7 linked regions of the Kluyveromyces lactis genome follow. The protein of the gene in region 4 purifies or fractionates together with the protein of the main gene of each other region. This does not show direct contact. Links are inferred from orthologs where the notes say so. Each region holds a gene or a part of one and is shown on either strand. Other genes may lie near its edges.

Region 1 (3,481 bases), on a different chromosome or scaffold from region 4:
AGAAATTGGATAAGATTGAGGGCAAGATATTAGCCAATGACATCAGCGTGATAAACGGTAAATTAATTGGCATCTTGGAAAATCAAGCAGCGCACTTGAGAAAGCTAGAATATCTATCAACTACTTTAGAAGTTATTGTGGCTTCAATGGGTAAAGAAGGTGAAGTAAATACAGAATCCTTCAAGGACCTCTTTGTTATGAATGATAAGTTGGAGCAATTACTTCAGGATCAAGCAAAGATTAGAGAGGCCACCAAACAAAGCATGGAAAATGCTGGAAATGGCGTTTCAGTTGACGAAATCGTCAAGAGACTCTTAATGTGGATTTTGCCTCTAATACTAATCGTTTTAGTTATGGCATACTACACTTTCAAAATTCGTCAAGACATTGTTAAAGTTAAATTGTTATAATGAATTATCCTCTATATATATCTGCAGCTTTATTGCATAGCTTTCTACTAGCAGTATTTAGTTCGATATAGATGAAGTTGCATTATTATTCTAAGGTTTTTCAACATAAGGTGGCCTAAACCCTGACACATTGGAGTATCCCAAAAAATTTGGATTCGGTACTCGCTTAACGGTACGCTTTTCATCTACATTCTTCGTTTCGTTTGGCACAATGCTCACATCAACATGGTTCAAAACTTGCTGTAGATATTGCTCTTTGTAATACGAAAGTTGATCCTCCGTAAGGCCAACAGGTGCACCGGCCTTATACTGCCAAAATTTAGTCCAACGGGTGTTTCTTAACTTTCGGACATGGCCAAGAGCTGTATTCAAATGAACAACATCATGGGATCGTTCTAAATCTTTTATTTGGTTTGGCGTCAATAGTTTTAACCTTGCAGGAAGTCTCGCCTTATTATATATCGGTAACCCTCCAGCACTGAAAGTTGTAGGTAACTCATCATTTGTTGTAACTGGTAGCTGCGTAAATTTCCATCCAGGAATTTGAGCCAACACATCTGTCTCCTCCGGGGGAACATAGTTAGCTTTACGTCCTCTACCAAAGTTATGAGATTCTACCGGGTGGGTGTGCGTTCCAATCGGGGAATCTAGAACATTGTGTTGTTGAGCAGCGGCGAAGGAATTCTTATAGTGGTATTTTGGAATTTTGTAAATAGTACTCAACTCGATTGCTCCATGTATAGTTTGACCCGATATGATTGCAGTTTGCTCACCATGAGCAATATTACTTAAGAACTCTTTACGTGCTTCTAAAGGCGGTAGTTCCGTAATGGTTGAAAACGGGTCTTCGAATTGCGGTTGTGATGTGGACATAACGCCCGCTTGTGCTTGCTTCGATTCAGGAAGCTCAGGTGGACCTAAAGAATGTGCTGTTCTAGTCCTTGGATCGATCGAACATACCATGTCGAGAAGTTTTTGAGAGAGTGCGTATACTCTGTGCTGCGCTTGGAAGCCCTGTTCTTTGGATAGTTGTTCCCAGTAATCATCTATCACTCTTGATCCGGATGCTAGTATAGCAGCTCCAAAGACAAGAAAAGCAGATCTAGCTGTGATATATGTTGCAGCAGTAGCACCTTCAGGTAAAAGTTTATACTGGGTCAAAAATTCGATAATATCATGTTTTGCATTAATTGGGTAAAGGTCTGGATGCTGAGCCAAAAACTCTTGTTGTTCCACATCTAGATTCAAGACTCTAATCAAATCCCGTACTAAGACGTACAAATTTTCCGAATTATTGTTTTCCGCACATGGATAAGTGAAAGTAGGAAACAAGTAATGCCTTTCTCCATGTAACCGTCCTTGTTTATCAACCTTCGTTTCCCCATTTTGATCACCCTTTCCCAAAACATAAGAGTCATTGTTGTCTGATAACCTTTCCTTAATGGTGAACGAAGGTAGTACAAGTTGCTTTGTTGGTGGCTTGTCAAGTCTGCCGGAGAGTAATTCAGGGTTATTGAGTATTGATAATGTGGTTTTCAAAATAAAAAGCTCATGGTTCTTTATGACATATTCTGGCACCGGATTCACCTGAGCAGTGACAGATGAGTTAGTACTGGAGTCCATTTTTCCAGCATGTGAAGATAAACAAATAAACGTATCCTGTTCAACAGCCAGAAAGGTCTCGTGGTGTTCCAAATATAATTAGGATGGATGAAAGTGTCGCAGCTTATACCGTCTATTGAATTCTTTCACGATGTACTTTGAAAGATATGCATATGTTTACGTTTATGTTAATGACAGGCATTCGATAGTTAGATTACATGTTGAAAAGACCCAATTTCAAAACAATGGAAAATACATAAAGATACTGATCACGTGATGACCAGCAACTGACACAGCAAATACCCGACAGTTAGGTTACATACAAACTAACGTATCTAAAATATAGGAATAAAACGGGATTCTTAGATAATAGTGCCGGTGGCTTCAGATGTTGGTAGTGTCATTCATTGAGCCAACTTAAGATTTGCAAGAAGTTCTTCTGAGGCCTTGATATAATTCCTGGCGTAATCATCAGTAAAATCTTTTGATGGAAGGATCGGGTTAGCATTCTTGTCAAACATGGCGCCTGAATGAGTTTCCAATTCTGGGGCAACTAGCAAGGGGCCTAACTTTTCAGCGTATTGCTCTGCAGTCTGATTTGTCATACCTATGAACCATTCTACCACTCTTGACTTCCAAGTGTCTTTACCAAGGTAATTATCTCTAATATTTGTCCTGATGAGCCCCGGATTCAACCCATAAAAATTGACAGTAGCAAACCTATTCTTAAAGTCCAAAACTAGAGCTTCATTACCGGCTACTGTTTTCATATGTGTGGAAATAGCTCCGTAAGATTCTTCTGAATTCAAATCTCTATAATCTCCCATATAGTTATCACCGGGGAAACCCATTACAAATACGCGAGGTTTTTTCTCACCATGTTCCTTCAATCTGGGTACCAAATGATTCATCATCACTAGTCGGCTGATATAACTGACGGCCAAATCTTCTTCTAGACCTTCGCTAGTCTCACGTCTCGCTGGAGGAGCCAAAACTCCCGTAGTGAAGATAAGAAGATCCAACTTTTCAGCAGGTAACAATTCCGCAACTCTGGATGCCTCTGACACCAAACCTAGGTCAGCCTGGATAAATTCAATACCTTCAACATTTTCGTCTCTGAACGTTCTACCAACAACGATGACTTTAGCACCCTTTTGTGCCAACACTCTTGCCAACTCACGGCCAATACCGCCCGTTCCTCCTACGATAGCAACATATTTATTATCTAAATTGAGTTCAATCAATTTTTGAGCCTTCGTATATACAATATCAGGATTGGTCTTCATGGTTGTTTGATGTAAGATTAGTCCGATGCAATTACAATAGATAGTTCCCCCTTGACTCTTGGTAATATTACTGTGCAAGCTGCATATCTGCAATCAACGTTGCACTAAGCTACCTTAAATAGTATCTATATATGATTTCTTCGACTTATTAGTTACGGCGGTGATCTTTTATCGACAATATGT
Region 2 (4,199 bases), on a different chromosome or scaffold from region 4:
CGCCGCGTAGATAATCTCAGTAAACTCTACTACCCTCGAGTAACACTCAAATATGGCTGCTTTGATGAGTTTGTGGCCTCTGCATACCAAGTTTCTTAAAAGGGTTGGTTCGTTCAAATGTTAACGTTTCCATTACTAAATATATTTTTTGGTTTTGAGCTGTTTATGAAATTTAGAGGCTTACACCATAAAGAATGAAACAGGCACACATAAATATCGATATACGTAGAGGTGCGTGTCAAGACCCTCGAGTAAGCCCGCGATCATCGGCGTTCGGTCTCTCATAGCTATCTTCAGTGCTCTTTCTTCTAGCTTATTTATCATAGTATTTCTTAAAATTGTTACAGGTGGTACCACATAAATACATATGTACATATATATATATATAGCGAATTACTCATTGAATGGTTGTCTTCGCCTTTGGTAGCTTTATAGTGACGAGTAAAGATTTCCCAACGTCGTGCATAATAACTCTGCATGCTGATGAGTTTCTTACTTCCTGTTGGAATTCTTGTTTTGGAGTTGCTTTAGCTCTGTCTAAATATTCGACTCTAGTTGATGGCTGGAACGATAACGTACTTGGACCAACATCAATACCTCCAGGCAAAGTTGTTGTTGGAAGTAGTTGACGGCACGTTTTTGGGATATCCCCAAGATCAGGAAGTTCTGCATCATGGGGTAGTTGCGGTGTACTTCCGGACGATGGGTGATTTTCTGTATTGCCTCTTCTATTGAAACGAACTTGTCTACGTTTCCTTCTAGTGTCTCTGTCCTTATCCTTAACCAAACGTTCTAGTTCTGCGGGAGATATCTGTAATAAGTTAGGTGTGTATAAAAACGTATCCTTTTGTGGTCTCATTACGTCTGCTAAGGTGAGTACAGGCAAGAATCTTGTTCTGATATCGTCTTCTTCAACGGGGCTACCGTCAAATTTGTAACCAACCATATATAATGACTTGTGATACATGTGAACTTGTTCTCTAATGCAATGTGCAATTGCTGTTAAGAATTCACCCGGAAGGGATAGTTCTTCGCATAAACACTCCGCGAACGATTCTGGACAATTATCTGGATTTGACACATCCCATTCAACGGTATCTATCAATTGATGTTGTCCAACGACAATATCTAGGTTGATTTTTATTCTGAAATCATCGCCCCCGAACCTCTGCACATTTTCAAAAGGATTTGGAGTATATTCTTGAAGTTGTTCTTTGATACTATTCACAATCTGTTGATACATCTCCGTGGTGACTTTGAGCCTATAATCCTTCAGCGTTGTTTTCACAAATTCGTTGATTGACAGTAGCGTGTCTGATCTGTTCCATACGAATGTGTCCCTCAAAGTAAATTTATCCTTTTCTGCATCAAACTCTAATCTAACAGGTACTAGTTCCTCCCCTGTTTGATTCATTGTCCATTCATATATTTCGTCCAAGTGCATTTCATAAGTGTCATCGACTTGAATCCTTGTGAGATCGTTACTGAAGCCATTTCCATATCCAGAATAACCGTCACCCCATATACTCTTAGATTTATGTCCTTGAGTTGTGTTGGTAATGGATTGCATTCGACTGTTCCTCAATTCTTTGTAATAATCAAGATCTTGCTGTAATCTCAATATTACCTCCCTCTGACTGAATCCGAATTTGGAAATAGGTTCCAATCCATTAGTGTCCGCCAACAAGTTGTCCTTATCCAACAAATCCCGTTCAATAACATGTTCATATAATCTTGTATCAAAACTCACAGGCTCGTTATCAGCTCTTTCTTTCTCTGACCATAACCTAGTATGAGGTAATGGAGTCTCAGGTGGGTCTTGAAGAATAGTTTGGAATTTGGGAATATCAGGAAGTTGTTTCTGAAACTTCTGAAGCACTTGCTGTAGTATTGCAGCTTGTGATGGTTGAGGTGGCTGTGGTACTGAAACTGGGACTTGTTGTTGTTGTTGTCGTTGTGGTGGTTGTCGTTGTGGTGGTTGTGGTGGTTGTGATTGTGGCTGTTGTGACGAAGGAACCATCGATTGATTACTGTTCATAACTGGTATATTCTGAGTTATAGGTTGACCTCCAATCATTTGTTGTGGATTCCCCATTTGTTGCTGAAGTGGTATACGAGGTTTCTGAGGTTGAGGCTGTTGAAGCTGCGGTTGGTTAGGAGGAATAATGTTGCGTGGCGGGGATTGATGTTGTTGCTGCTGAACAGGTTGTTGTGGTGGTACAGGCTGTTGTTGCTGTTGCTGTTGCTGTCTATGTTGTTGCTGTAATTTGACTTCAAGCTGAGTGATCATCAGAAGAGCGTTCTGGTTATTTCTCGCAATAGCCTGTTGTTTGATGGACTGAAGCCATTGCATTTGCAATGCCGGTGATAGTTGTGCAATTTGTGGAGGAAGATTCAAAGAAGTTCGTTGTTGAGATTGGGGAGGAGACTGCTGCTGTTGCTGTTGAACCTGCTGTTGTTGCAATTGCTGGGCTTGTTGCACCTGCTGAGCTCGTTGCTCCTGTTGCTGCTGCGTCTGAGATCTCTGCATTTGTTGTTGTTTGAGCTTCATTAGCTGCGCACGCTGAGCAGCATCCAATTGGTTCATATTACCGGGAGAAGAAACCTGTTCTTGCTGCATCTGCTGTGCTTGTCTTTGTCTCTGCAATAACAACTGTTGATGTTTCTGCTGAATCATCTGCAACTGCGCTGGCGTCAAGGATTGTAGGATATGTTGTGGAACCTGCGAAAGCGAAAAGGAAGGCGTCCCTATGTTACTCAAAGGGTTCGCATTGCCAGGATTCATTGGTGGGTTTGACATTCTCCTTTCAGCTTATATAGAGAAACAAAACTGCAACTAGTGTTTTCAATTGCAGACAGAAAGGGAAACACAGAAGGAAACTAGTATATTCTTTCTTGCGATAATTCTCAACCAAATGCTGTCAAATATACCCTTTCTGAAGCCTACCTGAAAGGTGTTCAGTTCCCTTAAAAACAAGAATTTCTTGTTGATCTTTAAAGTTTGTTGTTGGTCTTGTTCTTTCGTTCTTTGAATTCATGAAATTCACGAAATTTTGATTAACGATTAAGAGAAGTACGAGATGGAACAACCTAATGAAAAATTAAGGCAAGCAAACAGGATACAGCGGGTTATCCGCATATAGTTGGTTATCATAGTGAACTTAAGCAATTGGCTACAATGATTGTTAGCATATATGTCAATGATAGGTGCCAGGAAACGCTATTCCAGTACTCAACAGTAGCAGAGTGCCCTACTTTTCGGCAACTAGTTGTTAAACTACAAGGTAAAGACGAATCATGGGAGTCTAAATACTGCAATGAGATAAATTCTGAGTTGAAGCTTTGCAGACACGTTTCTTTGCTGAATCCAGTTGTTTATTGGTGTTTAATTTCGTGTTCAGAGTCCACAGTTTCCGTGGTATCTTTGTTAGAAGAGATAGATTTACTGTTGTTACAATATTTCGATAAGGACCAATTAACGAAGCAGAAGATAAATAATAACCTCGATCGATTATCGATGCTTTTCCATTGTATCCTTGATGCTGGGCAACCGGTGATAACAGACTCGAACCGTTTAAAGGCAATGGTCCCAAGTAGAAACGATTTATCGAAATTGTTGAAGACGACAACCAATACAATTACCAAGACCTTACAACAACCGGACGGGTCAATGTTTAAGAATGGTCCGGAAAAATCAAGGTTTAGTGGCAGTAGATATCCATCTTCATCCGCTTCATCCGTTTCCTCGTTCCACGTTGGGTCTCCTGGCTCCTCGTTAGTTGATCATTCCGTTGATGAATCTGGTGTCCCATGGAGAATGAGCGGCATCAACTATGCTAATAACGAAATATTCATCGATATGAGTGAGGAAATTAACGCTATTGTGGAAAAGGGGAAACTGTTAACCGGACATATCAAGGGTTGTATCGACTTAAACAACCATCTCAGCGGACAGCCATTGGTTGAGATGAAACTTGGGCTCTTAGACCACAAGCTTAGCCACTTAAACACGACTTTCCATAGATGCATCTTAGAGGATAAGGCGAACAGCATAAATGATTTAATCGCTGGGAAATTCACTAAGCTAACGTTTGTACCTCCTGATGGACGTACTAGGCTCTGTCAATATACCCTACCGTTGGTGAAAAGAGACTCAAACCTCGGCATTATAGACGTAAATTTACAAAGCAGTTTAGGTA
Region 3 (2,699 bases), on a different chromosome or scaffold from region 4:
GTCAAATATCATAAGCCGTCTGGAACAAACTTAAAGAAAAGCGCGACTTGCACTGAATATTTTTTTTTACTTAACCGATCAACGGTAATAAAATTGCATCTTGATGATAATTTCTATGAAAATTCAAGTAACCCAAAAGACACCGGCACCTATGAACAAATACAAAGAAACGTTACATTTAATAGACCTTCTATAATCTTGATCGTTTGGTTCAATCTTCAAGACAAGCATCCAAATCATTAGCGAATACAAAGATGTTAAGATGTGTTATCCCAAGCGTTCGCGCTACTGCAACGACCAGAACCTTTGTTAGATTTGCCAGTTCTCAAGGCTACATTGATGGGATCGCTGCATTAAAACAAGACTTGAAGAAGGCAATGCTTGCAAAAGACAACCTAAGAAAGACAACCATTAGAGGTGTACTATCTACAATTAAGAACAAGGAAATTGACAGTAAGGATAAGGATCTAGATGAATTTGTATTGTATGATGTGTACGCCAAGTTAATCTCGCAAAGGAAGGACTCCATCGCTGAATTTGTTAAAAATAAGAGAGAAGATTTGGTAGAGAAAGAAGCCAATGAGATAAAGATCCTCGAGAATTATCAGACTGCCTTGCCTGTTGCTTCTAGGGAGGAAGTAGACGCTCGTGTTGTGCAGATTTTAACAGATCTAAAAGAATCAGAGCCATCTATACAATTGAAGCAGGTCTTCGGAAAAATTGACTGGAAAACACTACCAGGCGAATTGAAGGCATCTCCAGCTGCTATCAGGTCCAGTATTAGCTCTCAATTTAAGAAAGTGTTCCAATAAATCACCTAGCTAAAACCAAACTTGTACAGAGTCATTCATTAAAAAAAAAACTCCGATGAATGACGCCCTTGTGATTAAGTAGGCACATCAATCCCGTAAATAAATGTACTTACAATTATGCAATATCAAGCCGCAGCAATGGATTTGACTCACGTGAACAATTCTCTATCTAAAGACTTCTGATAAAGCCATGTTGTTCGCTAGGATGCTTTGCCAGATCACGTGATAAAACATAGTAACCAATACTCTCTGGTAACTACTAAGTGGGGAGAATATGGACATGATAGTCTTTTGCTCTCTCCACAATAGCATAATCGTAACTCTTGCATGCATCTTCAACTGCCTTCCTCCACCTTATTGTAGTACTTCCTCTAAATTTCACCAAACATTGAAAACATGAATTGACTAAATTTCAAATTCAGAGATAAATAATGGCAATTACAAGTACGAAAATATCCAGAAGAGAAACATTAGACGTGCTTATAACCCCCAATCAAATCAACCAACGATGGTGTCGGTATGTAATGATTAAAAAAGACTGAAAAGCTTCTTCAGTTCGTTTTTAGAAGGTTTCTTTTCACAATGAGTTTACTAACAGACCTTTTATTCAATATTTCGGAAACAGACTGTGAAGAGAACGGTCAGAATTAAGACCAAGCAATCTGTCCTACCGGATGTACCACCTCCAGTAGAAAACTTTCCTATGCGTCAATGGACCATTGAATTAGTTCTTTTGGATGAACAAGGAAACGAAATTCCAGCCACGATATTTGATAAGGTAGTGTATCATTTGCATCCAACTTTTGCAAACCCTCATAGAACATTCACGGAACCTCCTTTTAGAATTGAAGAACAAGGCTGGGGTGGCTTTGAATTGTTGATAAGTGCGCATCTTCTTGAGAAAGGGGGCGAGAAGAAGATAACTCACGACCTACATTTCATGAAAGATGCCTATGAAATTGATCATGTAATCCAAGTTCCTACCAATAAGCCTCTTCTAAGAGCAGAACTAGAGAAAAGTGGACCTGTCGATGAAGTAGCATCAACAGCAGCAGCAACTCCAAATGCAACAGCGACAGCTGCCACCACTCCAGGTGACAAGAGAAAAGCATCTACTGTCAATGGTGATGTAAAAACGAAAAAAGCCAAGACCGCCTCCGCTTCAACAGTGAAAGGCTCTGTGAACTTGGAAAAGTTAGCATTTGGCTTAACAAAACTAAACGAGGATACATTGGTTGGAGTAGTACAAATGATAACTGATAACAAAACTCCAGAAATGAATATTACGAACAATATCGAAGAAGGTGAGTTCGTTATTGATTTATATAGCTTGCCTGAAAGTCTATTGAAGAGTTTATGGGAATACGTCAAGAAAAACACCGAGTAACCGGACCTCTCACATGTTTATCTAATTTAACCATTACAATTATGTAGTTGTATTTTATAACTTACATCTCCACTAACAGGCACTGCTTGCAGAAAAAGTACCAAATGAACACTATAATGAATAGACAAATCAAGCCTAGGGAAAATTGCACTGAAATATTTGATTGAATTCGCCCTTGGACTTGACTTTAATTATTGTCGACCTCCTACCGATGAGCTTATCTCTGAAAAAAATAATAGTTTGAATCAAATTCTACATGATAGCATATCACAATACTCCATTATGTTTTACTATTGTTGTAGCACAACGGTCCGCAAGCCGTCGATAGAAAACTGTATTGGCATCAAGTCAACACTTAACATAATGGAAAAAGATTTTGTAATGGTATGTTTTAATCTAATATTGCCATAACGTTTGTCACTAGCAGCATTGTCACTAACAAGTGGTTGTTTACAAACATATCAGCCTTACGTTCCTCGAACAATAAGAGTCAAAACTCA
Region 4 (2,283 bases):
CCGCATGCAATAACCGTGACACTGAAGTTCTAACTGAGGAGCTAGCATTGGAAAACATGGGGAAAAGAATTACAAAGATCTATGAAAATCTACCTTCATCAGCTATGCTACTAATCTGTTCAGGTACTGGTGATACAAGAGAATGGATCAAAATAATGAGTGAGTTGAACAAACTTGATAAGGAAGACCGTGCAGTGGAAAAATCCAAACGTGAAGCAGAAATACAGGCTTCGATTAAAACCGCTCGCGATGCCATCTCATTTATGACTATCAAAACCAACAACGTGAATAATGAAAGCCAATAGTTTTATATAGTAATGTCTCAAACGCACACATACGTCCTATGTGGAGAACAAAAGCGGTGATGGTTTTTCCTGCTTGCCCTCCTTTGGATGAAGGACTGTCTTTATCTTATTCGAGAGTGGGCGTCCAGGCCACATTCTGGATTCCATGAATCGTAGTAAAATTACAGTATATAGGTGTAATCGTTATATAATGAATCATTCCATCTTTACGTCGCCTTCTTGGTCTTTTACCTCTGCCGGTGTATCTTCAGCCGGAGTTTCTTCCGCTGGAGTTTCAACCACAGGAGTTTCAACAGCAGCTTCACTCTCGGCTTCTTTCTTAGCATCCGATCCTGAGAACCCAGGAATGTCAGAACCACCAACAGCTCCTCTTATATCGTTAATTGAGAGTGAATCTGGGCCACTTTTCTCCTGGACACGAGCATTTTTCTTAGCTATCTTCGTCCTATCAAATTCATCTAAGTTAAGAACATCTGTATCATCCTCAACTACATCTCTCAAAGGATGATCTTTTTTTACCCATTGCTTGAACTTATATTTTACCTTCTCATCAGTACCATTTTCATTTTGTTTAGCAGTAGTGGACCATTCGTATTCCCAATGCTTTGCATCGGTCGTGAAACCTCCAAGACGATTTGCCCTACTTATCAAAGACATTCTCACTTTCTGTTAAGTATATGGCTCAGTGTGTAAATTTGCTGAAATAATTGGCCGAGTTAGTCGATCTAACACCTAAAAGATTGTCGCATTGTACCTTTAGATCTCTGCTCGCACTGTTAAGCTTTAAGCTCTTGATGTTTGGCTTTAATTTCATGTTGGCAGAATTATCAACAAAAATTGACCTTAAATGGGATAAAATGGTCGATTAATAGGTCAGCGAACCACTTATTGAAACGAAAAGCCAGTAAATGAGATGAGTGCATGCTACACATTGCATATAACCTTGTTAATTCGAGTGAAGTGGCCAATCTGGGCCATGATAGTGGTTTATGTTACATGGATTGCACTGAAATTACGTTACCCGGTCTCTGGATTGATCCCTCAATATCAAAATCTAAACAAAGTTGAAGAGCTGATATGTACATTTCAGTAAAGAGTGCTCGAAGTCATAAAAAGGGTGGTTAAATAGGTTCATTCAACTCTGTGAGCCAATATTTCTGTCAATAACAGAATTCTAATCTGATTCCAGTCATAATACACCCATTTTTGCGAAATGCCTAGGGTTGCTGGAAGCTCAGGAAGCAAGAAACAAGGCAAGGCAAAGAAGGATTTCAGCAATGAAGATGATGCGTATAACGCTCTATTTGGTGGTGAGTTTGGGGCATTAGATATTAGTAATTATACTAGTGGTGGCGGCAATGGTAAGCAAGATGAAACAGAGCATCTGCCGAATGCTATTGATTTTGAAGATGAAGATGAATTGGCAGATGAAGAATTACCGGAGGAAGAAGAGCCATCCCATTCTCCGAACAGGCATAATGAAGGGTCGTTTCAGCGGAGTCTGACTGAAGACGACGAATATATGACTCTGATGGACCATGGTGATGTGATGCATGAAGTTGACGCTGCTGGATTTGAAGTACAAGGTAATAATGCATTGTTCATGGAGAGCACATATCAGTCATTTGGTCCAGAACAACACCAATTTAACGAATATGATGAGCAACACAGGAGGTTAATGGAGGAACAGCGAAGGAAACAAGAGGAACAAAATGCGAAGGAAGAACAGTTATTATTTCAGTCTTATTTCCCTGAGCTAAAGCCGGGTAGAGTCCTAAGAATGACCAAGATAGCTCCAAAACCGTTGGCGAAGTATCAATGGCAAAGGGAGTTATACCTTCGAAACAGAATTTTAAAACCTCTCATACCCATTAAAGTGAAGTTTCAAGTTCAAAAGGATACAAAAAAATTGTTCAAGATGAGGAGTAAAAGCGTAAAGCCTTGGCAAAGTGCTATAAGCGAGTTCTCTGAAGTTCAA
Region 5 (4,219 bases), on a different chromosome or scaffold from region 4:
GGGTTAACTAAGTCCTGTTTTAGAACCGTTCCTGGTGGTCGCAAAAGAAAAAAAAAAAAAAAAAAAAGAGAGAGAGAAAGAGAAGCACAACTTAATTTCACCTCGACATCTTATGATATGGTAATTAGGAAAAAAAAGTACTACTGTCGGATTGATAGAGAATAGAACAGAATTGATTACTTAACTAACCAGTTTTGATCCCGTCTAATTCCGCAATCAAATACGGTCATGTATCTTGTCAACGTAAAAAAAAAAAATTGGAATTAGCTTTTGCCAAATGAGTGGGGCAAATAACCTCGTACACATACATAGAACATGAGATTAACACAGAGAAAGGCAGCTTTTCTTTTCAAAGACCATTCTCTAATTTCCAATTTCCCCTTCCTTCTCTTCCATTTCCTATCTGGTACAGCTACATAACATATAACGTAACATAGCAAAAACCCCCCTACCGATGTGTTCAGTTCCGAGAGAGACGGAGAATGAGTATTTAATCTACTCTACTAGTCACACTACTGCCTGCACTAGTGAACGATCAGAAATCAAAAGCCTAGTTGCACAGGGCAACAAATGATGTAGAAATAGAACAGAGAAGTGATAGAATCGGTGGAAAGAAAGAATAAGCAGAAATAAAAAAAAGAGGTATCCACACGTTACTTCCTATGCATCTAAGGCCCGGCACAGAATCAGCATAGCAGCAAGTCATACTTAGTCTTACCTCAGTCTCTAATTCACTCTCTGTGCCTTTCTTGTTTCACTTAATTTCTCACAAGACGAATGGGATGGGGGGGGGGGGGGTCTGTCACTATATCCATTCAATCCATATCAGATTCCACTGTACACTTGCATGTACTGCGCACATCCCTAAAATGTATATCCATATCTATGTATCTTATATACACACATGCAGCACGTCATCTTGTATATTCCGCAGCTATTGTCCAGTTCCATCCCGACATACTCTTAACGCCTCAAACGTATGTCTTAAACTTGCCTTAAAGTGTGCTTTAAACCCATGTTTTAAGCCCCAGTGCCAGTCAAAATTCACACAGAAAGCATGATTACAAAAGCGAATAATTTACACAAAAAAAAAATTTTTTTTTGTGTTACGCTGTAAAACATAAACAAAATAACTTTAGTAAACGGAAACGGAGAAGGGAAATAAACACAGAAAACAACAGAACCGTTGTGCATACAGGCTTTGCGTGTGTTTAAGGTAACTTCCTTCGGTTGGTATTTTACTTTTCGGATAGTCTGCAGTGCCATATCGTCGGCGGCTAAGCAGTACTTTTTCTGTTTTTTGTTTATCCTTTAGCTTCGGCTTGAATTAAGAATTGCTTTGCTCTCTTTGCTAGTGACAAGCGTTTTTATTACTGGTAATAGTATTAGTATTAGTGTTGCGATAGGCCTGTTTTGGCAATGGATTTAGAGTTCAGTCCTCCCAGGAGGGAATATACGCGTGAAGAGATTAATCGTTGCTACCTGCGGTGGCAGCAGCTTCGTAACGAACATGGTGCGAATGTCGAGTCTATGAAGGAGTACCAGTACTATACGGCTGTGTTGAGGATGGCTGCCAGACAACAGCAGCAGCGACAACAACAACAACAACAACAACAGCAGCAGCAGCAATTGCAGAATGCAACAACAGCAGCAGCAGCTAGTTCGGCTTCGCCGAATAACATACCGACTCCGTCTGCTTATACCCCTGGCAGTAATGGTATGGGCCCTGTAGCAGCAACAGCGGTACCACCACCACATATGTCACCACAGGTAGGACCTCAGCCGATCGCGCCGGCTTCTGGTCTAACAGTAGGAGTGAATACGCCAGCTAGCACCAATTCTAATTCTAATTCTAATTCTAATAATAATAATAATAATAATAACGCGTCATCATCACGGTCTTTGTTCACAGATGAACAGTCGCTCTTGTTGAAGGCACAGATCCAATCTCTTAAGATGATGGCTAACCACATGGTCGTACCACCAGAGATTATGATGGTCATTGATCGGTCTTTGACCAATTTACTGGATTTCAAATCCATTCTACTGGCGTTGAGTGCCGATTTACAAGCTCATAATGCTGGCCAGCAGATGCAACCTCCAGTACAACAACAACAACAACAACAACAACAACAGAATAATGTACCGCAGCAGAAGCTTTCGCCTCAGGTACGCCAAGGCGTGAAGAAACCAGTACAGAAGGTTCGTCAACCCAAAAAGGGTAAGGTGGAATCACCAGTAGCAGCAGCTTCGCAACCACTTGTACAAAATAACATGCCTGCTCAACTGGTAAATACCACGGCAAATATAAACCCAGCTTCTCCTATAGTGACGTCAGAACCCACTCCTATGGCAGTTCAGTCCCCAATGGTGGAACCTTCGCGCCCTATTTCTCCTCCTATTCCGGACCAGGACCCCCCAAAACAAGAACCTCCCGCTCTTTTATCCACATACAAGAAGCAACATGAAGATATAGAAAAGTACATCGACGTAGCTTCACCGCATATTATGGTGGATTGTTTCTCGTACCCAGAACAAGGCGGCATTCCAGGCTCCACACCGTTGGTACCACCAATTAGTTATACGGATCTTCTTAACCAACAAAATCTTTCTATCACCCCCAGTCTGTTACCCGTTGGTCTGGATCCAAGGTCTGCTATGGAAACTTACCAAACTCTCATCGCTTTGGATTTAGATACATCACTGGATTTTTGTTTGCAACAACTATTAGAATCAGATTCTCAAGTAAAGGATAAAGGGGAATTGATTATGGACTATAATGCAATGCAGTTACTTCCTTTACAAAAAGCTATTAGAGGTTATGTATTGTCATTTGAATGGTATCAAAGCACACTTCTCACTAATATTCATCCTAACTTTTTATCCAAAAATCGTGGTTTAAACATTCAAGATGCTTTGTTGACTAGAGAATTGTTTAAATCACGAGAATTACAACAGTACGAAAAACAACAACTTGAAAAATCTTCTAAATTGAATTCAATCTTGGACCGTTGTAAATCGATACATGATTTGAGAATAGATAAAAAAGCTCAGCGTGTTAAGTTAGGTCACAGGTTGATAAACTTACACACGAACTTGGAAAAAGAAGAATTGAAAAGAATTGAAAGAAATGCCAAACAACGTTTGCAAGCATTGAAAGCTAACGATGAAGAAGCATATATTAAGTTGTTGGATCAGACAAAGGACACAAGAATTACGCATTTGTTGAAACAGACTAACACTTTCTTGGATTCTTTAACCAAAGCTGTTAAGGATCAACAGTCTTTCACTAAAGATAAGATCGAATCTCACCTTGACACTCAGGAACTTAGCGAAGACAACGTGGGTGATAAAAACGGAGCAGACTCTGATGATGACTTGGAACGTGAGAGAATCGATTATTATGAAGTTGCTCATAGTATCAAGGAAGAAGTGAAACAACAACCATCCATCCTTGTAGGTGGTACTTTGAAAGAATATCAATTGAAAGGTCTACAGTGGATGGTGTCTCTTTTCAATAACCACTTGAACGGTATCTTAGCAGACGAAATGGGTCTAGGTAAAACTATTCAAACAATTTCTCTTTTAACCTACTTGTACGAAGCTAAGGGGGTCCATGGTCCATTTTTAGTTATTGTTCCGTTATCCACTTTGACCAACTGGAATGCAGAGTTTGATAAATGGGCACCTAAGTTGCGGAAGATAGCTTTCAAGGGTCCTCCAATGGAACGTAAACCTAAACAAGCGTTAATCAAAAATCGTGAATTTGATGTAGTGTTAACAACCTTCGAATATATTATCAAAGAGCGTCCATTACTTTCTAAGATAAAATGGGTTCACACAATTATTGATGAGGGTCACAGAATGAAGAACGCTCAATCTAAGCTTTCTTTAACTTTGAACACATATTATCATTCTGATTATCGTTTGATTTTGACTGGTACCCCTTTACAGAATAATTTGCCAGAACTATGGGCCCTTTTAAACTTCGTTTTGCCAAAAATTTTCAATTCTGTGAAATCTTTCGATGAATGGTTCAATACACCGTTTGCAAACACTGGTGGTCAAGACAAGATAGCATTGAGCGAAGAAGAAACTTTATTGGTCATTAGAAGATTACATAAGGTACTCAGACCTTTCTTGCTTCGTCGTTTAAAGAAAGATGTTGAAAAAGATCTTCCTGATAAAGTAGAAAAGGTTTTGAAATGTAAGATGAGTG
Region 6 (3,927 bases), on a different chromosome or scaffold from region 4:
GCTGGCATATGTCATCATCGTCATTTTCTTCAGTGAAAACACCAGTTAATACTGACTTAAAATGTGCTCTATTTGGGTAACCAAGAGAAAGAAGTTTAGCCAAGACGTCCGCACCGTATGTCTGACATTTTTCAACATTCATGGTGTACTCTGCATATGTCAAGACGCTATTCTCTTGAATATGATCTTTCGGATCAGCGAAGCTCAACGCTAGCATTATGATTAACAAACAAGTTACTGTTGATTCAATTTTCAACATATGTGTAATATTAGATAGAATAAAAATCAAATCCTTCTTGAAGTTTAAAACCCTGCGCTCAAAAATAAACTCATCTCTATGAATGAAAACCATCCAAAGAGTATCTGCAATATATTTTTCCATGTGGTAATTATTAGCCATTACCTGTGAATTCTGTTCGTTAAATGAAAGATTTCTCAAGATCATTGAAATTGTTGTCAATTGGTCAACAATCAACAAGTGCGGATCCTCTGCTCCAGAACGGTGACACTTGCTAAAGATGGATCCGACTTCCGTTTTGACTTTAGTTAGAGAATCCATATATGAAATGAAATGTAGCTTTTTGATTTCATCGAGATTTTCGTCTTTCAACAAATCAGGTAAGTATTCAATATCATTCTCATCTTCGTCCTTCTCCAGTGAGACTTCAGGTAATGTCGCATCGACTTCTATTTCTGGTTCCGTCGGTGTGATCGGAAGTTGAGAAAAATCTATACCAGTTAAAGAGTCTACCTTTACTGTATATTCAGATTGATCTTCTCCAGATTTTTTGACGCTTTCCTTGAAAATTTTATCAATATGAGTATCAGAGGAATCCGAATGTTTGGGAGGCGTATTAATCCACTGCTGTTCATCATATTCAGTATAAGACCCTGATATCCTTGAATAATCCTTCTTCAATAGTTTATGCAGTAACTGACACGCCAAGATACAGAGGTTATCCAAAAGCTCACGACATTTATCGAGTGGAATTGATAAAGTGTTATCGGAGCTAATAACTAATAATGAGTTTAGTGCGGTATTGACTTCCGGGTTATTAGAACTTTGTAACTGCATTGCAATTGCATTGATATTGACGACACCAAACTCCGGCGCAAAGAGGAAGATGGGTTTAAAATTATGTATCATCTCACCAAGAGCTGAAATCTTTGAAATATCATACCCATTTTGCGTGGTGATGGCTCTTGTGGTGGGACTATAATGCCTGGCCATCGTTCTCTTATACACCTTCGGAAGCTTCTTAATTTGCTCTTCACGACGTTTCAAAATAATTTCCTGTTGTTTCTTCAATTGTTGTTCGAATATGAGCTTTTGCTGCTGCTGTTGTTGCTCCGCTTCTTGTTGTTGACGCTTTTGCAGCTCTTCCATTTGTTTTCTTTCCTGTTCTAGTTCTTTCTTAGTCTTCTTCTTCACTCTTGGCTTCTTAGGCTGTTTAGGTTTTGCTTGTTTTGGGACGGTGTTCTTTGTTTTGCCTTGAGCCTTAGGAATCTGTTGTTGCTTCATTTGTAAATCCGGTTGTATTACGTTTTGACCCTGCATAAAAGACTGATTTTGCACCTGCGGTTGGAACTGCGGTGTATTCGTTCTAATGTTTCTTATAATGTCCTGAAGTAATTGCTGTAACATGATACGATTGGTTTGAGTTTCTTTAATACCTTCTGGGGTCATCAAGTACTTTTCGTACGGTAGTAAATATCTGTAGTACGTCTTTGCCAATTCTTCTCCAGCATTTGGTCCTTGTATATTCATCTTTTTCGCCAATATGTGCCATTGTTGTGCTTTAGTGACGTTTTCTCCTCCGTTAAGCTTCTGAACATACATGTATAAGATGAAGAAACTGACCTGGGTACCATTAATCATTTGAGCAATATCTGCGGGTTGATTCTTTCTCCTGCAATGTTCCAAAAATGATTTTCTAAATAGTTCAAACTGTTTGGTGTTTAATTCCTGACCGACTTTCCGTTGAATGGCTGGATCTAGATTTTGTAGAACGTTTCTTTGGTTATTAGACTGATTCTGTACTTGAGGCGCATGTTGTTGCATTCTCGCCTGTGCTTGCGCTTGTGCTTGTATGTGCGCTTGAGCTTGGGCTTGAGCTTGAGCCTGTGCTTGTGCTTGTGCTTGGGCTTGAGCTTGAGCTTGTGCTTGAGCCTGTGCCTGCGCTTGAGCCTGTGCTTGTTGCTGCTGTTGTCTTAGTTTCTGCTGCTGTAATTGGTTGAATGCCTGCTGTTGTTGCAACATCTGTAGCTTTTGTTGCTGTTGCTGTTGCCTCTGTTGATGCGCAGCAATTATTGCGGCTCTATCCATATACTGAGGGCTCTGTCTACTAGCACTCGCCTGAGCTAAAGACTCATCGGCCATTGTAGGGGATCCACTTGGCACATTTTGCGGCGTTCCACGCTGCGATAACATCTGCTGTAAAGAAGTAGTGCCGGCGGGAGACTGCGTCGGTGCTACATTGGCTGTATTCATAGGAATTGGTCCTGCGGCTGGAGAAAACATGGATTGTGGAGAGATAGAGACTCCACCGTTCTTCATCGACGGAGGTGAATTGACAGTTGAGAATGAATTTCTAGCCAATATAGCCTGGGGCGTTACGCCTGCGTTAACATCTTCCATCGGCCCTAAATTACTATCAGGTATACCTTGCTGGTTGGGTGCGCCTGAGTTATCAAGGAAGGAAAGGTACTCATCACCGTTCGAACCTCCTTGACCGAAAAGCTGGCCATCGCCAGAATTCATTGGATCACTCTCGTCCGGGAACAAAAACTGATCGTCCATCCGTATGTACCAATAAAGTTACCGTTTGACCCTTGATATCAGGGGAGAGAAATCACGCCTAAATAAAACCTAAAACAAGGGAATTATATTCATTCTGAAAGTAGTGATAGTCAAGTGTCAATTGAATTCATTGAATACAATTTCGAGTTTCCTTTCGTTGTTTTGTTTTTGGAAAGACAAGAAAATTCCAGGTCACGTGATTTTGTCAATTATTCTATATCCGGGTAATACATTCGATCACGTGTATAACTTACCCGGCCGCGGCCGGGTAAGTAAAATATATTTCCCATTCTGCTTTTCTTTTTCAAGCTCATCGCTCTTTTTTTTTTGTTTGGAAAATTTTCATTTCGAAGCCAATAAAGAGAGATGAGCTTTCTGACCAGTGAATATATTGTATATTGTGTTATGTGCACAGCGATATTTCAATTAATACTTGTCTGTATTATCTTGAGTTTTGTTCATTCATTCCGAAGTTAGTGTGTGTTGAAGAGTCCAGATCAAAGAGATTTTACGGTAGCGAGGAAACTTTATTGATCAGAGAATTAAATAATGGCTCCTATTGAATATCTTTTGTTCGAAGAACCTACCGGGTATGGTATCTTCAAAGTGAAATTGCAACAGGATGATATCGGATCTCGTTTGAAGGAAGTCCAGCAACAGATCAATGATTTCGGCTCTTTCACTAAGTTAGTTGAGTTGGTTTCTTTTGCTCCTTTCAAAGGTGCTGCTCAAGCTTTGGAAAATGCTAATGATATTTCTGAAGGTTTAGTCTCTGAACATTTGAAAGCTTTGTTGGATTTAAATTTACCAAAGGGTTCTTCTAAGAAGACTGTTACTTTGGCTATTTCTGATAAGAACTTAGGTCCATCCATTAAAGAAGTTTTTCCATTTGTTGATTGTATTTCTAATGAGTTAGCTCAGGATTTGATTCGTGGTGTTAGATTACACGGTGACAAATTATTGAAAGATTTACAACCTGGTGATTTGGAAAGAGCTCAACTTGGTTTGGGTCATGCTTACTCTCGTGCTAAGGTTAAGTTCTCTGTTCAGAAAAACGATAACCATATCATTCAAGCCATTGCTCTCTTGGATCAATTGGATAAGGATATCAACACTTTTGCCATGAG
Region 7 (3,502 bases), on a different chromosome or scaffold from region 4:
CTGTAAAGGTTATAAACTTCAATGATAATGGTTCTTTTAACGTTAGCAAGACCTCGCTAATGGTACTTTTAGATTCCATTTCTGCCATTTACAAATCTGAAGGCTTATCTGATCATCATTCTAAAGTGGAGAGTTTCAAAGATATTATAGATTCTTCCATGCACTAAACAACTTTCTGCTGATGTTACCTTATTCTTACTATACTTCTATCATACTTTCCATGAACAATCTGTCTCATGAAGAAAGTTTTATTTATTTATTATTTGATGAGTTTTACGATTATTATGACAAAAATGGGTTTACGCTGATCCATTCGATACAAAATTCTGATATTGTCAGAATTGCTATCATCTATTTTTTATTTTGTTTCACCATTTTTAATTCAATTTTATACATTAGTTAGGTCTCCCGTTGTTTAATTTTTACCTTTAATCGATACGTTATACATTTAATTATTACAAAACTACAACTTTAATTACTCTATCGGCCTAACGGTAAGTTCAACCTGAATGTATGAAGTCCAAAAGAACAGTATTTAAAGGTGGCACGTCAGCAATTTGATGTAATATCAAAGGTTTCATATCATGAATAAATTGTGCCACGATCTCGGTACTATCGTTAGAAACAAGTGAAAGGAATGACGCACTTGCTTTAGATACATCAGAAAGATTCTCGGGGAAAACAATATCTGGCAAACAAATTTGAACTGCTTCCGATGGAGTATTGTTGCTTTCAAATTCATCCGGGGTTTCAGTCTGTATAGGCGAGGACTGGTCAATATCTTTATTTGCCTCTACGATTGAAAGAGCTTTTCTGCGAGGCTGTATACCTCTTATTACAAATTTTTTCTTCGACGTTGCTTCATCTACAACTACCAAAGCGGATGCACCGGGCAAAGCATTCGAAACATTTTTAATGAAATCAACGGCAGTTATCAATTTTCGATCTGTTAGTTTTACTTGTTCGCTGAATGTTTGTTCATAAGTTTTCCATAGAAGAATCTGTGTTACTTCGCCATTCAGAGATCTCTCAAAGCAGCATCTCAACCAGGAAGTGGCACGCATTGGTTCGTTTAGCTCAAATAATTCCTTGAGCAGTGGCATTGGCAATTCAGGCGCGTGTGCTGGTGGTTGAGGTTTTACCCTCTGTATAAGTTTGATATTAGTATTCGAAAGGGCATGATAATCAGGGGTTGATACATGATACGTGAGGAGAACAGGGAGAGTACTAACTAGGATATCATATCTTTCCTTATGTGATAGTAATGTCTTTATTCTCTGATGACCAGGTAATATATATTGATAAAGGAAATCTAATGAAGCAATTATTAACTCTTCATCCCTATCAATTAAAAGGTTATGAACAATCTTGTTCAACAAACTATCATCCAAATTATCTGCTGCACTCTTTTGGTCCGATTTAGATCTCACCAAGAGTCTAGATAATGATCTCAAAATTGAGATCACGCAGTATCTATCCTTTGTATCACGAAATATCAAACAGAGGTTTTGGAAATATAGATCGTCTTTTTTTGCTGGTGCAATATAAGATGAAATCGCCTCCATTAAATCAAGAGTATAGATTAACAATTCGTTGAAACTGGATGTATGTGACTGATAGATTGCCGAATCCTTCGAATTGAACGTATTTGCCCACTCCAACACGAACAATATGAACGATTTCAATTCCATATCGGTGGCTAATATCGAAGTGTTTTCCGAGTCCTGTGCCAAATTTCTCAAAAGAAGCATTGTAATTGAACCTTTTTGTAGGGCTTCAAAAGCCTGATTGGAAATTGGGCCAACAAGCTGTGGAATGTATTCTCTGCATGCTGTAATCAAGGGCATAATAATGGGCAACAAATCCAAATTCTCATTCAATTTGATAACATAAGAAGCGTTAATGCTATACCGTAAATATCTTTTCAATGCAAATTTAACTTCTTCGTCTATTCCACTTAACAATGCCATCTTCATACGGGTGAGATCATCAACACCAATCTTAGAGTTTACAGGCAAATGATTGAAGATAGGCAAACTGCCTAATGATTGTTGCAACCCAGCAACAGGCTTAGCGGTAATACCATTGGTCTGGTCTCTGCTAATATTTAATTGTGTTGCGGGCAATGTCTTCAAGCTTGGAATCGCTGTTTCTCCTTCAGCATTGATCACCGGAGTGACTGAATGGCTGGACATCTATTGATTTGTGAAGCACTAGGTATCACACAAAACTAGAAAAAAGCGAGTCTCCGAAAGAAGGTGTGTTTAAGGTATCTAGATCGCCGATATAGGTACAAAGAAAGTAAGCTCCATCTAATTAGTCGCGTTTTCCTTTTCTGTCATTGTACATATTAAGAAGTCCATCTCGAATCTTTCGTTGTTTTGCATGTTGTTGAATTTCGAGTTCAATAATACGGCTTATATCCGGGTAAATGATTACATAAATGCTCTCCGTACATAGTAACAAGGACAGATTAAAGACTATATGCTGTTGCTTAGTGATTCTAATCATAGTTCTGACAGTTAGGTTTATCCTCTTTATGAACACTGACTATCCCCTCTGTGACAGCCTAAGTCCTTTTCAAATGGTTATGGGAACAACGAGTTTAAATTCACCTCCCTGGCAATTGACGTTGATCATGTGACCGAAAAGTGGTAATTCCACGCTAAGGAACGGATCATCAACCGATGATTCAGTGTAATCTCAACATCAAATCGACTCAAACGACCCATTGATTCTCTTCCTTCTTTTCCATTTCTGCCCTGATTCAAACACATTCTAATTACCTAATTAGTTTCCTAGACCCTAACTCCCCCAGAGTTATCACTCTCAGTGATCTGATCTGATTACTTACTCATACATACATCAAAGCAAATTCCACACATCACGGCGTCCGGAAGAATTTTTACCTTAAGGCACAATACAAATGGTGGCATTGCCATCTGCAATTTTAAGACACAGTCGTCCTTTTGCATCGTTTCTTGCTGCCATTAGCAAACCGCAAAAGTCATTTCTTTAACATTAGCAAAAAGACGTCTTTAGAATCCAAAAAATAAGGGAAAAAGGTAACGGGTTAGCGAACATCATAACTGACGCTATTGTGAGCTTGGCTAGACCATGCGTGAGTATATCCATGTCACCCTACCCCTTATTATAAGTGTGTAGAGCTATTATTTGGAACTAAGTGTGGCCATCGATTTTTACAACTTAGTGTGATGCATTGTCACTGTCAACTAGAAGTTTGTTCTGGCAATTCCCATTCTATATATATATATATATATATATATATATCAACAAACGTGGAACACTTTCTCTTGCTTAACAACTGGCATTTTTAGGCTTAGGTATATTTGTATAGGATATCATTTAAAGTGTCTGTTATTAATAAGATTTATTGACATAGCTTATTACACAGAATAACAATATTAATACGCAGGATGAAGCTTAGTAGTGCTTTGATATTTTGTGCAGCTGCTTGCCAAGTAGTTATTTGCAACAATCT

Evidence for each region.
Region 1: the proteins of RTT102 (region 4) and SWP82 purify together in Saccharomyces cerevisiae (affinity purification with mass spectrometry; 3 studies listed by BioGRID). This does not show direct contact. The link is inferred for Kluyveromyces lactis from reciprocal best matches to the Saccharomyces cerevisiae genes RTT102 and SWP82.
Region 2: the proteins of RTT102 (region 4) and SNF5 purify together in Saccharomyces cerevisiae (affinity purification with mass spectrometry; 3 studies listed by BioGRID). This does not show direct contact. The link is inferred for Kluyveromyces lactis from reciprocal best matches to the Saccharomyces cerevisiae genes RTT102 and SNF5.
Region 3: the proteins of RTT102 (region 4) and KLLA0_D06831g purify together in Saccharomyces cerevisiae (affinity purification with mass spectrometry; 5 studies listed by BioGRID). This does not show direct contact. The link is inferred for Kluyveromyces lactis from reciprocal best matches to the Saccharomyces cerevisiae genes RTT102 and TAF14.
Region 5: the proteins of RTT102 (region 4) and SNF2 purify together in Saccharomyces cerevisiae (affinity purification with mass spectrometry; 6 studies listed by BioGRID, with this or other methods). This does not show direct contact. The link is inferred for Kluyveromyces lactis from reciprocal best matches to the Saccharomyces cerevisiae genes RTT102 and SNF2.
Region 6: the proteins of RTT102 (region 4) and SWI1 purify together in Saccharomyces cerevisiae (affinity purification with mass spectrometry; 4 studies listed by BioGRID). This does not show direct contact. The link is inferred for Kluyveromyces lactis from reciprocal best matches to the Saccharomyces cerevisiae genes RTT102 and SWI1.
Region 7: the proteins of RTT102 (region 4) and RSC9 purify together in Saccharomyces cerevisiae (affinity purification with mass spectrometry, with the first as the bait; 3 studies listed by BioGRID). This does not show direct contact. The link is inferred for Kluyveromyces lactis from reciprocal best matches to the Saccharomyces cerevisiae genes RTT102 and RSC9.

Annotation. Positions count from the first base shown.
Region 1 is NC_006040.1:503,410-506,890, forward strand, and holds SWP82 (Swp82p), read right to left. Parts: upstream 2,034-3,481; coding exon 501-2,033; downstream 1-500. Other genes in the region: KLLA0_D05863g (uncharacterized protein), read left to right, coding at 1-410; KLLA0_D05907g (putative short-chain dehydrogenase/reductase), read right to left, coding at 2,417-3,298. UniProt on the Saccharomyces cerevisiae protein: Involved in transcriptional activation. Component of the SWI/SNF complex, an ATP-dependent chromatin remodeling complex, which is required for the positive and negative regulation of gene expression of a large number of genes.
Region 2 is NC_006041.1:1,665,925-1,670,123, forward strand, and holds SNF5 (Snf5p), read right to left. Parts: upstream 2,801-4,199; coding exon 398-2,800; downstream 1-397. Other genes in the region: APM3 (Apm3p), read left to right, coding at 3,179-4,199. UniProt on the Saccharomyces cerevisiae protein: Involved in transcriptional activation. Component of the SWI/SNF complex, an ATP-dependent chromatin-remodeling complex, which is required for the positive and negative regulation of gene expression of a large number of genes.
Region 3 is NC_006040.1:588,334-591,032, reverse strand, and holds KLLA0_D06831g (uncharacterized protein), read left to right. Parts: upstream 1-1,320; coding exon 1,321-1,329; intron 1,330-1,437; coding exon 1,438-2,199; downstream 2,200-2,699. Other genes in the region: AIM41 (Aim41p), read left to right, coding at 255-812. UniProt on the Saccharomyces cerevisiae protein: Functions as a component of the DNA-binding general transcription factor complex TFIID, the RNA polymerase II associated general transcription factor complex TFIIF, and the chromatin-remodeling complex SWI/SNF.
Region 4 is NC_006037.1:881,489-883,771, reverse strand, and holds RTT102 (Rtt102p), read right to left. Parts: upstream 963-2,283; coding exon 501-962; downstream 1-500. Other genes in the region: RNH70 (Rnh70p), read left to right, coding at 1-305; TAF1 (histone acetyltransferase), read left to right, coding at 1,519-2,283. UniProt on the Saccharomyces cerevisiae protein: Probable component of the chromatin structure-remodeling complex (RSC) which is involved in transcription regulation and nucleosome positioning. RSC is responsible for the transfer of a histone octamer from a nucleosome core particle to naked DNA.
Region 5 is NC_006038.1:740,786-745,004, forward strand, and holds the start of SNF2 (SWI/SNF catalytic subunit SNF2), read left to right. Parts: upstream 1-1,419; coding exon 1,420-4,219. UniProt on the Saccharomyces cerevisiae protein: Involved in transcriptional activation. Catalytic component of the SWI/SNF complex, an ATP-dependent chromatin-remodeling complex, which is required for the positive and negative regulation of gene expression of a large number of genes.
Region 6 is NC_006040.1:1,041,728-1,045,654, forward strand, and holds the start of SWI1 (Swi1p), read right to left. Parts: upstream 2,801-3,927; coding exon 1-2,800. Other genes in the region: snoRNP complex protein NOP56, read left to right, coding at 3,350-3,927. UniProt on the Saccharomyces cerevisiae protein: Involved in transcriptional activation. Component of the SWI/SNF complex, an ATP-dependent chromatin remodeling complex, which is required for the positive and negative regulation of gene expression of a large number of genes.
Region 7 is NC_006040.1:880,842-884,343, reverse strand, and holds RSC9 (Rsc9p), read right to left. Parts: upstream 2,196-3,502; coding exon 501-2,195; downstream 1-500. Other genes in the region: RPM2 (ribonuclease P), read left to right, coding at 1-167; double-strand break repair enhancer MSC1, read left to right, coding at 3,438-3,502.